Oryza sativa Japonica Group: one gene and its partners. Each later gene encodes a partner of the first gene's protein in a complex. Links are inferred from orthologs where the notes say so. Each region holds a gene or a part of one and is shown on either strand. Other genes may lie near its edges.

Region 1 (3,512 bases):
GATGATTGTTTTCACAATGAGAAAACATACAGCAAAATGGTAAGTCACAGAGTATGTTGTTCAAAGCTTTACCGTTTTAATATTTGCAACAACACCATTTGGTTGGCGGGTAAGCATAGGTCCATTAACTGAAAAATACTTATAACAGTTAGTCATGTTCAGTATGGAAGATAGTAATGATACGGATATAACCAGAAGCCAAAAACAAATTTCTATATAAGGCAATTCCAGATTTATCACAACTGGATCATGCAAATAAAACCAGCAATTGGCTAGACTTGAAATATGTTCCACTTTAATTAGGTAGATGGGCAATCTGGCATATATTAGTACATAGCAATGTACAATACAAACAATAAGAATTTGGCATTTCATAACATTAAACTGTAAAATTTTATTTATGAAACAAACAATGAAGGGGCTTCATCAACACTCACAAAAACAACAAATTATGTATATCCACGAATACCTTTAAAACCACATTGCTGTGTATAAAAACAGGAATTGCGATATATTTGTATCCTCAGTGTTAATTTTGATTAAGATGCTGAAAAACAAAACTTGTTATCCATATAGAATTCATCAATCCGAAGACACCATGCCATTGAAAGCATTATCACTCAGAGTCCAAACAATTAGTTGTGACCCCATGCCAATGATAACCATGAAGACACAATCATTATAGAATAATCTATGTTTTCTTGGCACTACAATTGAAAAACCACCCAGATGGGAAGGGGACAAATAGAACACAATGGTACAAGCTTTTAGGAGGCAGGTTTTCACGTTTGTGTATTCAGTACATCCATTTTTCTTCATCTCCAGCTCAAGGCATCTGTACTTGACAAATTGGAGATAAACTATAGGAAATTATATTGTAGTCCCATGTAATGTCAGATGCACAAGCACATCGTGTTCATAATAGAGGAGAGCTCACAATACATTTTATTCCTCTAAGGCTTTGAAAACTCAATGATATGCTTTTTTCGGGCCAAAAATGGATGGCATAAGGGCATTGCCAGAATCCTTCCTGCTATTAAAATAGTCAGGCGTACCAATATATGCAACGATAATTGTTAACCTATGTTGCTTCAGCCCATGGAGTAATTATGGCAATGGTTTATTTCACTTTAGCCTAACATTTTTTTCCTTAACAAAGCTGTGTCAAGCATTTGTTAAAGCAGACTCACGCTAGACTATGTGTAAGCACCTACATATTCACAAACATCGTAACAACGTCACAACCTTTCGTCCAAAAGAGGAACAGAACTAAAGGCTAAATACCATGGCAAGACTAAGCCAAATGTTAGCATTTGTTCAACCTGAGGGGTTGCCATTTGAAGTTGGTACTGGCACAGATGTTGCAGCTGTATCCATTTTTGTAATGGGGTGATTTGTGACCAAGTTGCCAGGTAAAGGGCGACTTAGAGCAGTTCGAGCCTCCAAAAAATTGTCAGACAACAAAACAAGAAAATGTGGATTTTTTGCATGATCCACTGATGGGTCAGCCGCTCGAGGATTCCTCTTTGCCTGCAACAAAACATGGACAACATCAGCACCTGGTGCAAATTATTCATCAGTACAAACTGTCGAAGGTCTTGCAGAAGATAAAATTTATATCATGTAAGTTAAAAAATGCTTGTATTAAACTAATGATAGATAAGGATGCCAATTCATAGATTTATAGTCTGTAAACCATACAAAGACTAGCTAGCAAGTTCAGGCAGGATACTAACTAATTAAAAAAATGAAATAAATGGATATTTTTCTTATCCACAAATAAGATACAATGACAGTACAATCCAAACTGAGTTCATTTTTATTTGAGTAAATTTCACTTAACCTTTAGGTGTTGTGGTCTAAGTTGCACAAAACCACATGGGTTTTGGCACGTGACACTTAACCACCAGGTATTATAGCTATAAAGTTTCACACAACCACACTATTGATCATTTATAAAATCACATCACAAATTTATGAGTTTTTTATCCATCATATAAATGTTACATGAATGTAACTAAAACTTTTAAAACTTTGATATAGGAGTATGTAAAATTGGTTAACGGTGTGGTCTTGTTAAACCTTAGGGCCATAATACATGGGGTTATGTGTCATGTGCCAAAATCCCTGTGGTTTTGTGCAACTTGGACCATAATAGGTGGTGTTTGATAAAATTTACTCTTTTTATTTCAATGGTAATGAAAATATGAAGTTTAGTACTGTGTACAAGTACAAGAACATATGTAATAGTGGAGCGGCCAGTTCTGCAAGTTCATGCTTATAATTTATTTTAAAAGATATATTCTTAAGTGAGTTTTTCAACCCTCTGTAAATCAAGATGCAACTATCATACCATCAATGAACAAGTAAAATACCAGGAGAAGATTATTAAAGATGGCTTGTGGCTTACAGAATTTAGCAAAACAAAATAACGAAATTACCGCATTGTATATTGCTTTCAGAGTTGGAAGCTGTTTAGGAGATACCACCGACAATGAAACGGAGCACTACATCAATATAAGTAAAATTAATTAGAACCAACAATGACTGCTGACCACTTCATTGAAACACAGGTAATCAGCAATATGCTAGATATCAGTATTTGTGTAGGACCTGAGCAAATGATTTTGCAACAGTCTCAGCATCAGCAAGACAAGATTCTTTTGCTCCATCATTGTTCTCCTTGTGATCGCTACTTTGAACAAGGGGGCGGTAGACAGGCGTAGGCAGTGGATAAGGATTACTTGCTGCAACAAGTATGCAATGTTTTTGTACTTCATGGCTTTGATGATTCTGACTGTTACTAGAACTGCCTTGGAGTATCTAGTTGCACACAGGAAATAAAATCATAAAGGCAATAAATACTTTAATTCATAGAGAACTCAAGAAATAAAATGATATCAAATTCAAAGACCCAAGTATTTTTCAACTAGTTATAGGCTCATGCTGTCATGCATTGCAATGGTTTTTTTTATTAAGTTTAGTGGGAGGATTTGGGCCCAGTGAGCTGTTCGGTGTTTATACAATGGTTGGCTTTATTAGTAAACAGTTTTTTTTAGGGTGGACAGTTTTTATGGAGGAAAGAGGCTTTTATGTGGAGGTGGAGGAGGACGATTCCCTCTTTATAATAGTAGGGATGAAGACTGAAATTTTGATTTTTGAAGACTCAGTACCATAGGAAAATTAACATACTAATATAGGTACATTCATAGAATTTAAACTTCTGATCATACTAGTTTCACTCTGCTTATTCTGGGTACTGGCCCAGACATCCAGTTTCCTAATAGGGTTGATCTAATGAAAATCTTCCTTACAAAAATTAACCTAATGAAATGGTGATTACAGTTATACACTCTATTTACTAAGGTAAGGCTATCTGTAGCTGATATCCAGATCAAGACATTTTTTATGAGACAATAGCTGATAAGTGGATGTGCAAACCACCTTAGAATTTTCTCACATGAATCATATGTTGTGCAGAAGGGCATTAAAGGACAGATTCTAGAGAATAC
Region 2 (4,054 bases), on another chromosome or scaffold:
ATGGTGTATATTGTATAATTGGTCATTTGGCTATAGGTCAACTCGTGTAATAGGACTGTACATTTATAATTGGGACTGTATGACTGGACGTTGTATTTGTGGTGGGACGGTGTGACTTGGACAGTGCTTTGGAAATGGGATTTGTGGTATGTATAGATATTCCGAGAATGCACGAGGGCAGAATAAATGGATTGCAACATGAGACTTTGTTTGGATGGATGCACCGTATTGCCAAATAGGAGTTTAGGGTTAACGCACGATAAATGAATTTATCGGTTGTTGTAGGATTATTTTGAGAGTGTTCGTACAAACGAACGACGGTAGCGAAGAAAGGATTTTAGGGACAACGCGTAGCATACAAATCCAATCGTCGCGGTAGGAATAGAATCGGAGATAATTGAATTGACGCATGATAAATAAATACGCCGATCGATTGTAGATAGTCAAGGGAGAGTGTTGGGTTTGAATTGATGGAGTGATTTTAAATAATCGCTGGGCGAGAGTTTGAGAGAGCAACAATATCGCGATAGGACAAAAAAGTTTTGGGTCATTGATTTATTTAGCATCGAAGCACATAACAAATTAGACCGCGAAGGTAAGAGAAGGTAAGGATGGAAAAAGAAAGGTATAGGAAAGGGTGTCCTTTCTAGAGATAGGGTTTAATCAAAATCTATGGCACAAATTCTAAACACACACAAATAAACAATAAATCCTAACATGCAAACTAGGCTATACCTGAGGGAAAATTAGACGTTGTGTGAGAAGGTCATATCTTTTGAAAATAGCCTATTATGAATTATATTTTGCAAATAGGGTTTTTAATAAATACTTTACTAATATATATTATTTTGTAATTAATTTTCCGAAGGCAAATTCCTTTTCAAAGGTTCGTATAAAATAGCCATAGCTATGTTTCTTTATTAAAAGGGTATTTATTTCAATATACTACCCATAGAGGGTTTTATCCAAAACGGTAACATGTATTTATGTGTAGCTTTATTTACAAAATAATTATGCTGAAGGGGTTCTAATAGAGAAGGGTTTTTATATATAGTTGGCATTTGCAAATGTTGAAATATTTCATAAATTTATTATTATATTTTATTAGTATAAAAAAGTTAGGGTTAACGCCATGCTACCGTATGCAAGGGGAAAGGAAACGCAATCGGAGTATGCTGTAAGTACAAGGGGGCAAATGCGAAATAAATACTAGGTCGGTCCAACCCCGAGGTTTCTTCTCCTCCGAGGCGAGGCGAGACTCCGATTCTAGCCTACCTCGCTCGCTCGCTCGCTCGCTCCGTCTTGTGGTCGCCGCCGCCACGAAGACCAAACCCTCGCAAATTGCAATCGAAGAAGAAGAAGAAGAAGAGGAGCCATGGATGGCGGCGGCGGCGGCAACTGGAGGCCCACCCAGGGGGCCGACCCCGCCGCCTCTGGGGGCATCGATCCCAACGCCCCGGCCCCCGCCCTCGCCGGCGGCGACTGGCGCTCCCAGCTCCAGTCGGAGGCCCGCAACAGGATCGTCAACAAGATGTAGGGCTTTCCCCCTCTCCCCCCACCCACTTCCCTTCCCTTCCCTTCCCCCAATTTTTCTTCTCTTCATCAACTATATAAAATAAAATAGAAGATCCATACATCGCATCATCCTTTTGTGCCTGTGGTCGATTCAATATGATGCAACTCTGATCCGATCTACTCCTACGTAGCTAGTTGTAATCTCATCATAATCTCCCCTTCCGTGCCCCTGTGTTTCTGTTATTTATTTATTATTATTTACTTTGTTAGTTAGGTCCAACTCCAATCCCTCCCCAACTATTTTCAGATTCTTATTAGCTTTGACATTCTTGTCTAGTTCACCTAGTCTACATATCCAATTGAACTCAATTTACATTTCATCAGACACAGTTATTACAGTATAGAGGTTTGCTTGGAAGATGCACCCCTTCTGTTCAAATGGATCTTCCCTTTGAGGGTCAGGGAACTATGATGGCAAGGCAAACTGTTTGTTGGAGAAACCGCCTACCTCTCTCGTTTATTTTACTTCGTTATGTTAGATCATGTATGTGCCACTCTCGCTCCGCGAGTCCTTTGTAGCTGTTGTCCACTTTTGGTCATAGCCACTATATTTGAGCGCGTAACTTGGGCTATGCCTACTCATTTGTCCAACATCTTGAATGGTAGACTGACACATTATGCCTTAGGTGACATTTCTCTTTTTTTTTTTGCACAAAACATCTCAAAAGCACTCTCTCTCTCTCTCTCTCTCTCTCTCGTTCTGCATGGGATATATTCGTCATTTACTTGCTTGTTGCAATCTGCGTACAGAATGGACACTCTGAAGAAGCATCTACCAGTATCAGTGCCTGAGGGGTTGAATGAACTTCAAAAGATAGCAGTGCGATTTGAAGAGAAAATCTATACTGCAGCCACCAGCCAGGTACACTTAGCCTCTTGCTAACTCATCGGGTTGATCCAATCTTTCAGTTGTGGGGCTCAAGCATGGCATTTGGGATCTTAGTAGAAGAAATCGATCGTCCAATGTTTGCAAATATGTCTGTTGATTTTGAAGTTTGTTAGAGTTTCGCCGTGAAGTATCCACATTTTCTTTTGAACCGATTGTAATATTTCGCACTTCCACCTAAATCAGATTATCCAAGGCTGCTGAAGCTTTTCCCCTTCCATTATCGGGGGAAAATCTCCTTTGCGCCTTGGATACAGGGACTAAGACTGATTCAGTCCTATGCTAGAGGTGTTGATGTCCCCACATTATTTTCATTGATAACATATCTCAATAGTAAATTAGTATTAATGAATTATAGAACTAAACAATATTTTTACCATGAGACTGGTTTCTCTCATTGGCCATGTTAAAAGTACAGGAGTTGTACCTTGAGTTCTGTAAGCCCATCATTCCATCTGTTCATGCTTGTATAAATCACCTGTAAAATATTCCCTTTATCCCAGATGAAACATCAAACAATGGTTTACTCCAGTCCTTCCTTTTGTGTTAGCGAGTATGTCATCATATATCCCACTTCATTTTGGTAAACATTTTTGTAGGAGCTTCTTTGGCTGGGTATAGGGATTCATAATCTCCAAATTCCAATTGTGTTCTCCTGTTCATACTTCATCAGGCTTATTCATGCCAAAGTAGTTTGCTGTATAGATAAGAATTTGTATAATTTAATTGATTGTATAAAAAAACGAAGCATATGTTTCAATTGTGCTAACCACCAGGACTTAGGGTGGCAAGTTATTTATTACAAAGCCAAATCTTACCATTGTATTCTTTTGTATCACCAGTCTGATTACTTGCGGAAGATTTCTCTAAAAATGCTCTCTATGGAGACAAAGACTCAACAGAATCCTGGAAACGCCCAAGTGATTCAAAACCAAAATCCCCCTGGCTCAGGTATCATATGAAGTATATTCAATATCCGATTCTGAAATACTGGAGTAATAGTAAGATATTCGCTGGTACCATATTTTGTTCACCGTAAAAGTCCTTGTATATATTTTTCATGATGTAACTATATTGCATGTGTGTTTACAAGCCCCATTTCTGAGAGGAAACCATCCAATGGAAGCTCTGCCACACTGGGTACAACAGTGCTCTCTCGTTTTAGCTTGTATCGGATAATGCTCAAGCAAGTAAATTAAGGCGAGATGCCTGTCAGTCGAAACCTCCAAACTTGTTGATTACTCGAACCTAATTAAGTAATTGCTAATCTTGATAGCAAACACACCATTTGGATGCTGGCCACGAATCCTTGCATGGTCATATTCAAAGCTTTTGGGCACCAACATCAAAACAGACGACCCCTTCAATCTGCTTGTTCTAGTAGAGGCTAGATCAGCCATGGCTTCCAAAGTAGAAAAGCAAAGCAAGGCTCACACCATCACGTCTGCTGCCAGCAGCCCAAAGACCAAAGATACACATAGCTTTCTAGCACTCATTCTCTCTCTTTTTAATCAAAGATTAGTATCATAGTCTAGCCCATTGGCAATACACAATCACTTCATCGATATAACCTCTCGCACTGGATTTCCTCTC
Region 3 (4,296 bases), on another chromosome or scaffold:
GCGTGGCTTGTTGACCTGATCTAACCGACTGAATTAGCATGTGGGGCCTAGATGTCAGCGTCCCCTCCTCCCTCTTTTACTTTTATCTTCTTTCTTCCCTATCCTTTCCCTACATGGTGATGAGCTCTAGTTGGGAAGGCGGTCGGTAGAACAAGGGAAGACGATAGGGATGCCACTGAGCATCTGACGAAGGTGACTCTTCCCAATTCCCATTCCACCCCCTTCCTGGGATCAGGAGAGGACACCGACCACCGCTCTTCGGTACGGTGGAGCAAACGAAGTGTCGTCTAAGAGGTGGCTAGAGACGGGCGGGAGACGTTGGACTCCAGCAATCGAGGACACACATGTCGACATTTCCTATCTCTGGAGAAGCTTCATCAAGATCGAGCTCGCTTGCCTCATTGGATTTGCCTCGTTGCCCTCACCAAGAACGGTAGCGGAACAAGGTTGCCACGCCCACCAAGGATAGGGGGCATGTGCTCGCCATTGCCTACAGCTTGAGTCTGTCATTAAGGTCAACGACATGGACGACGTGCTCCAGCGAGCCATCGAGGATGACCTCCCCCTCGGTGGCAATGATGACTACAAGAGCTCGTCGACATCTACCCCTTGTCCTCCGACGGGTGGTGGCTATCCCTTGGCCATGCAGAGATATGCACGTGACCCTCCTCTCTCTCTCCCTCACTATTGCCATGTATGGCTCCACAACATATAAAGGAGAAGGACTCTTAGATCTCGATGACAGCGAGGTCAATCACCATCCTTGTCCATTGCTAGGCCTTATTAACCGAGGCGTTGATAGAGGTGAAGGTGGGAAAAGGACGTCGGATTAGAGGAGGCGACAGAGAGAAGGGGAAGTGGCTTGAGGCTCGGATCTGTGAAGGAGAAACACTGATGGGACCCGGCTTTGTCCAGATCAGTGAGGGGCCTCGGTGTGGCAACCGTTGGAGCCCACAATGAAGAGGACATCTACGGCAGCACTGGGCCTCTCCGACTCTCCATCACCGCTGTGGCCCTTCCCTCCTTTGCTCCACAAGGTTGCCAACAGAACCAAGCTTAGTTGGTTGTGTCGGTGGTGGCTTTGTCGTCTAAGTCACTGACACTATTCATGCTTGAGCTCGTCACCGCGTGGAGAAAGGAGAGGGAAGAAAAGAAAAAACAAAAGCATGAGGAGAAAGAGAAGGGGACGACATGTGGGTCCCACATGCTGACTTAATCGGTTAGACCAGTTCAATGAGCCACGTTAACGAAAACCACCCTCAAAATAACTAAAAAGAGTTTTTTTATTCACCGGTGTTAATAGCCGAGGGTTCGATATACACGGTTTGCGATTAAGGGAGAACGAATCAGATTGGACCTATAGTCGAGGGAGACAAATTGGACTTATTCCGCTCAAATACTAGGGCCCTGATAAGGCCAGGCCTGGGCTTCGAGCTTCGGCCCAAAATCAACATATCCTTTGGGCTTTTGGACTATGTTGGGCTCTGAAGCTAAGCTTAGTTCACTTCACAGCCAGCGCCGACGAGAGGAGGAGCAGATCGGCTAGGGTTCCGGCGATGGCCTCCTCGGCGGCGGCGCGGCGGCGGCAGGAGATGGCGGCGGAGGGGCAGCGCCACCTGGAGGAGACCATCGCCGCCGCGTTCCAGATCCTCTCCTCCATGAACGACGAGCTCTGCAACCCCACGCTCTGGTCCTCCTCCTCCGCCGCCGCCGCCGCGGCGGGCGGCGCCGGCGGACTCCAGCACCACGGCAACAACCACCACCACCACCACCAGCACCACCACCACCACGGCGGTCTCCCTCCGCCGCCGCCGCCGCTGCACTCCGCGGACTCCGACGCCGCCGACGCCGCCGGGGGAGGGCCCGGGGGCGCGCCGGGCTCCGGCGGGTCGCTCGACGAGGCCAGGCACCGGTACAAGGTCGCCATGGCGGCGCTCCGCACGTCCATCGCCGCCGTGTCGTCCTGTGCTCAGGTCAGCACACGAATTTACCCGACATTGCATGCTCCCGTAGTATGTATGCAACCACGAAATGCGTGTTTCTAGTGATCGTCTAGTGGAAATTGTGAAACGTATTGCACTCTTTGTTGATATCAAGTTAGGTGCTTATACATAGGTAAGGGAGCCAAATAATTTTTGCAAAAGAAAATTTCTTATTATTGATACCAATGTAAGGGAATGTAAGGGATGTTGTGATGTAGGTTCGGACTACATGGATGTGGACTATATATATGTTTCAATCAACATGAGCTTTTAGTGTTCAATGTTCATGAGACAAAAATAGTAGTTTTATATGATTCTATTTTTAGCAGTAAGTGTAATCCTGATGTGCAAAATATGGTGCTATGGAGAAACCTCATAACAGTTTACTTCTTTGTAATGATGTTGTGGTTTTCTTCGTAGGAGATGGGATCGACAGAACACAAAGCTGATCAAGCTGAGATTGAGAGATTGGAAGAACATGCATCTGCTTTGAGAAAGGTACTATCTTGGGAATGTTCTAGCAATATAATCAATATCATTTTGCTGTATTCAGAATTTTTCCCTGAACCAGTTGGTAACTGGTGCTTATTTAGCCATGTCAATCCCAAATATTTCCCAAACAACCTGTTTTGAACATAATGTGTGTGTGTGTGTGTGTGTGTATATATATATATATATATATATATATATATATATATATATATATATATATATATATATATATATATATATATATATATATATATATATATATATATATATATATATATATATATATATATATATATATATATATATATATATATGTTCCTTTTATGCTTCAATCATTTTAATTCAAAAAGTCCTGAGAAGAGTGTAATCCCCAATTTTTACCTGAAACCATTTTAGATAGCCAGGATCTAGTTTGGCAAGCTGTGATACTGTGTTGCTTGTAGTGTTTTGGATAGTCATGTTCATTCTGTTGAACTCGTCAAAAAAGCGTTCCATCTTGATCTTTCCTGGCAATATTCATGCTTGTTAAGTTGTTATCTTATCATTGTTTTTTCTGCACTGGATACTGCATGTCATTATTGTTTGCATACTTGGATTTGCCTGCTAGTTTAGAACTTACTCCCTCCGTCCCAAAATAAATAAACATAGTATGGAATGTGACACACCCTAATACTAGGAATCTGGATAGGGGTCTGTTACTAGGTTTGTTATTTTGGGACAGAGGGAGTAAGTTTTTGCAAATCCACCTTTGATGCTAATTGGATTCTGGACTATTTAGCAAATCCTTTTCATCCTTTGGAGGGCTGTTGGCTGTAATGGCCTTGTAAGTCTCAACTACTCCTTATCTATGCTAGATCATTATAGCATAAATACAGATTATTCTCCTTGATGTGTATAAATGTGTATAGAAAAATGGATTTGTGGCTTATTCAGTTCCATTTGTATGATTTATTGAGATCAGTGATTTTCATGTACTCCTATGTTTGAAGTGTAGCAAACCATAGTTATTAAGACCGGACCGGTGATCGAACTGTTAGGGTACTCGGTTCACTGGTTTATTGGTCGGACCAGTCAAACCGCCGGTTTAAAGCGGTTCAAATAGATGTGTGTTAGAATACTAGAACAACATGTGACATAGCCGGCTGAGACTCTCCGTGGAAGCAAGGAGGTCTTGGTTCGATCTTCAGTTCAGCAGGTTTTTTCCTATTTTCTCTAACTCCACGTGACACCCTCCAGCAGTCGAACCACCTTCGGTTTTTGTCTGGTTCTGCAGAAAACCGCCCGGTTCAATGGGTTTTTGCCGGTCTGTTTGCTCAACGATCTTTTAGCTGGACTGGACCAGCCAACGCCCTGGTTCCCTTTTTTTCTGATCGGACCACTGGTCTGGTCTAGTTCTAATAACTATGTAGCAAACAGTGTTCTCTAATGCCTCGATTACATAGTTTGTTCCTAAAAAGTTCAAAGCATTTCATTTTAAACATACACTGGTCAGTACAATCTCAATTAGCTGATCCCATGTGTCCTAGTTCAGATTTCTATATATGCCCGTGGTATCATGGTCTGTGGAAGTTTTGAGTCCTCACGCTTTTGACATATATAATACATTTTTTGTTTCAACCTAGTAATGTGGCATACTGTTCTCTGGTACCGTAAACCAGTCTAATACAGGATGTTTACTGCAGGAAATTGAAAGCAAAAACAAGCATGTAAAGCTCCTTATCGACCAACTCCATGATTTAATATCGGACATATCAATGTGGCAGAGTCCTTGCTCAGTGTGAAAACTCATCGGCATTTATCCTTTAGGAATCCAAAAATCATA

What was found. Proteins that work in one complex are often made in the same cells at the same time.
Region 2: mediator of RNA polymerase II transcription subunit 25 (region 1) and mediator of RNA polymerase II transcription subunit 15a share a complex: the UniProt entries of both Arabidopsis thaliana proteins name them as parts of the mediator complex. The link is inferred for Oryza sativa Japonica Group from reciprocal best matches to the Arabidopsis thaliana genes PFT1 and NRB4.
Region 3: mediator of RNA polymerase II transcription subunit 25 (region 1) and mediator of RNA polymerase II transcription subunit 30 share a complex: the UniProt entries of both Arabidopsis thaliana proteins name them as parts of the mediator complex. The link is inferred for Oryza sativa Japonica Group from reciprocal best matches to the Arabidopsis thaliana genes PFT1 and AT5G63480.

The regions. Positions count from the first base shown.
Region 1 is NC_089043.1:12,248,737-12,252,248, reverse strand, and holds part of mediator of RNA polymerase II transcription subunit 25, read right to left. Parts: intron 2,824-3,512; coding exon 2,614-2,823; intron 2,508-2,613; coding exon 2,442-2,507; intron 1,531-2,441; coding exon 1,323-1,530; intron 129-1,322; coding exon 73-128; intron 1-72. UniProt on the Arabidopsis thaliana protein: Component of the Mediator complex, a coactivator involved in the regulated transcription of nearly all RNA polymerase II-dependent genes.
Region 2 is NC_089042.1:28,450,870-28,454,923, reverse strand, and holds the start of mediator of RNA polymerase II transcription subunit 15a, read left to right. Parts: upstream 1-1,244; 5' UTR 1,245-1,375; coding exon 1,376-1,533; intron 1,534-2,325; coding exon 2,326-2,437; intron 2,438-3,303; coding exon 3,304-3,412; intron 3,413-4,054. UniProt on the Arabidopsis thaliana protein: Component of the Mediator complex, a coactivator involved in the regulated transcription of nearly all RNA polymerase II-dependent genes.
Region 3 is NC_089038.1:19,469,304-19,473,599, reverse strand, and holds the start of mediator of RNA polymerase II transcription subunit 30, read left to right. Parts: upstream 1-1,486; 5' UTR 1,487-1,556; coding exon 1,557-1,973; intron 1,974-2,402; coding exon 2,403-2,480; intron 2,481-4,156; coding exon 4,157-4,255; 3' UTR 4,256-4,296. UniProt on the Arabidopsis thaliana protein: Component of the Mediator complex, a coactivator involved in the regulated transcription of nearly all RNA polymerase II-dependent genes.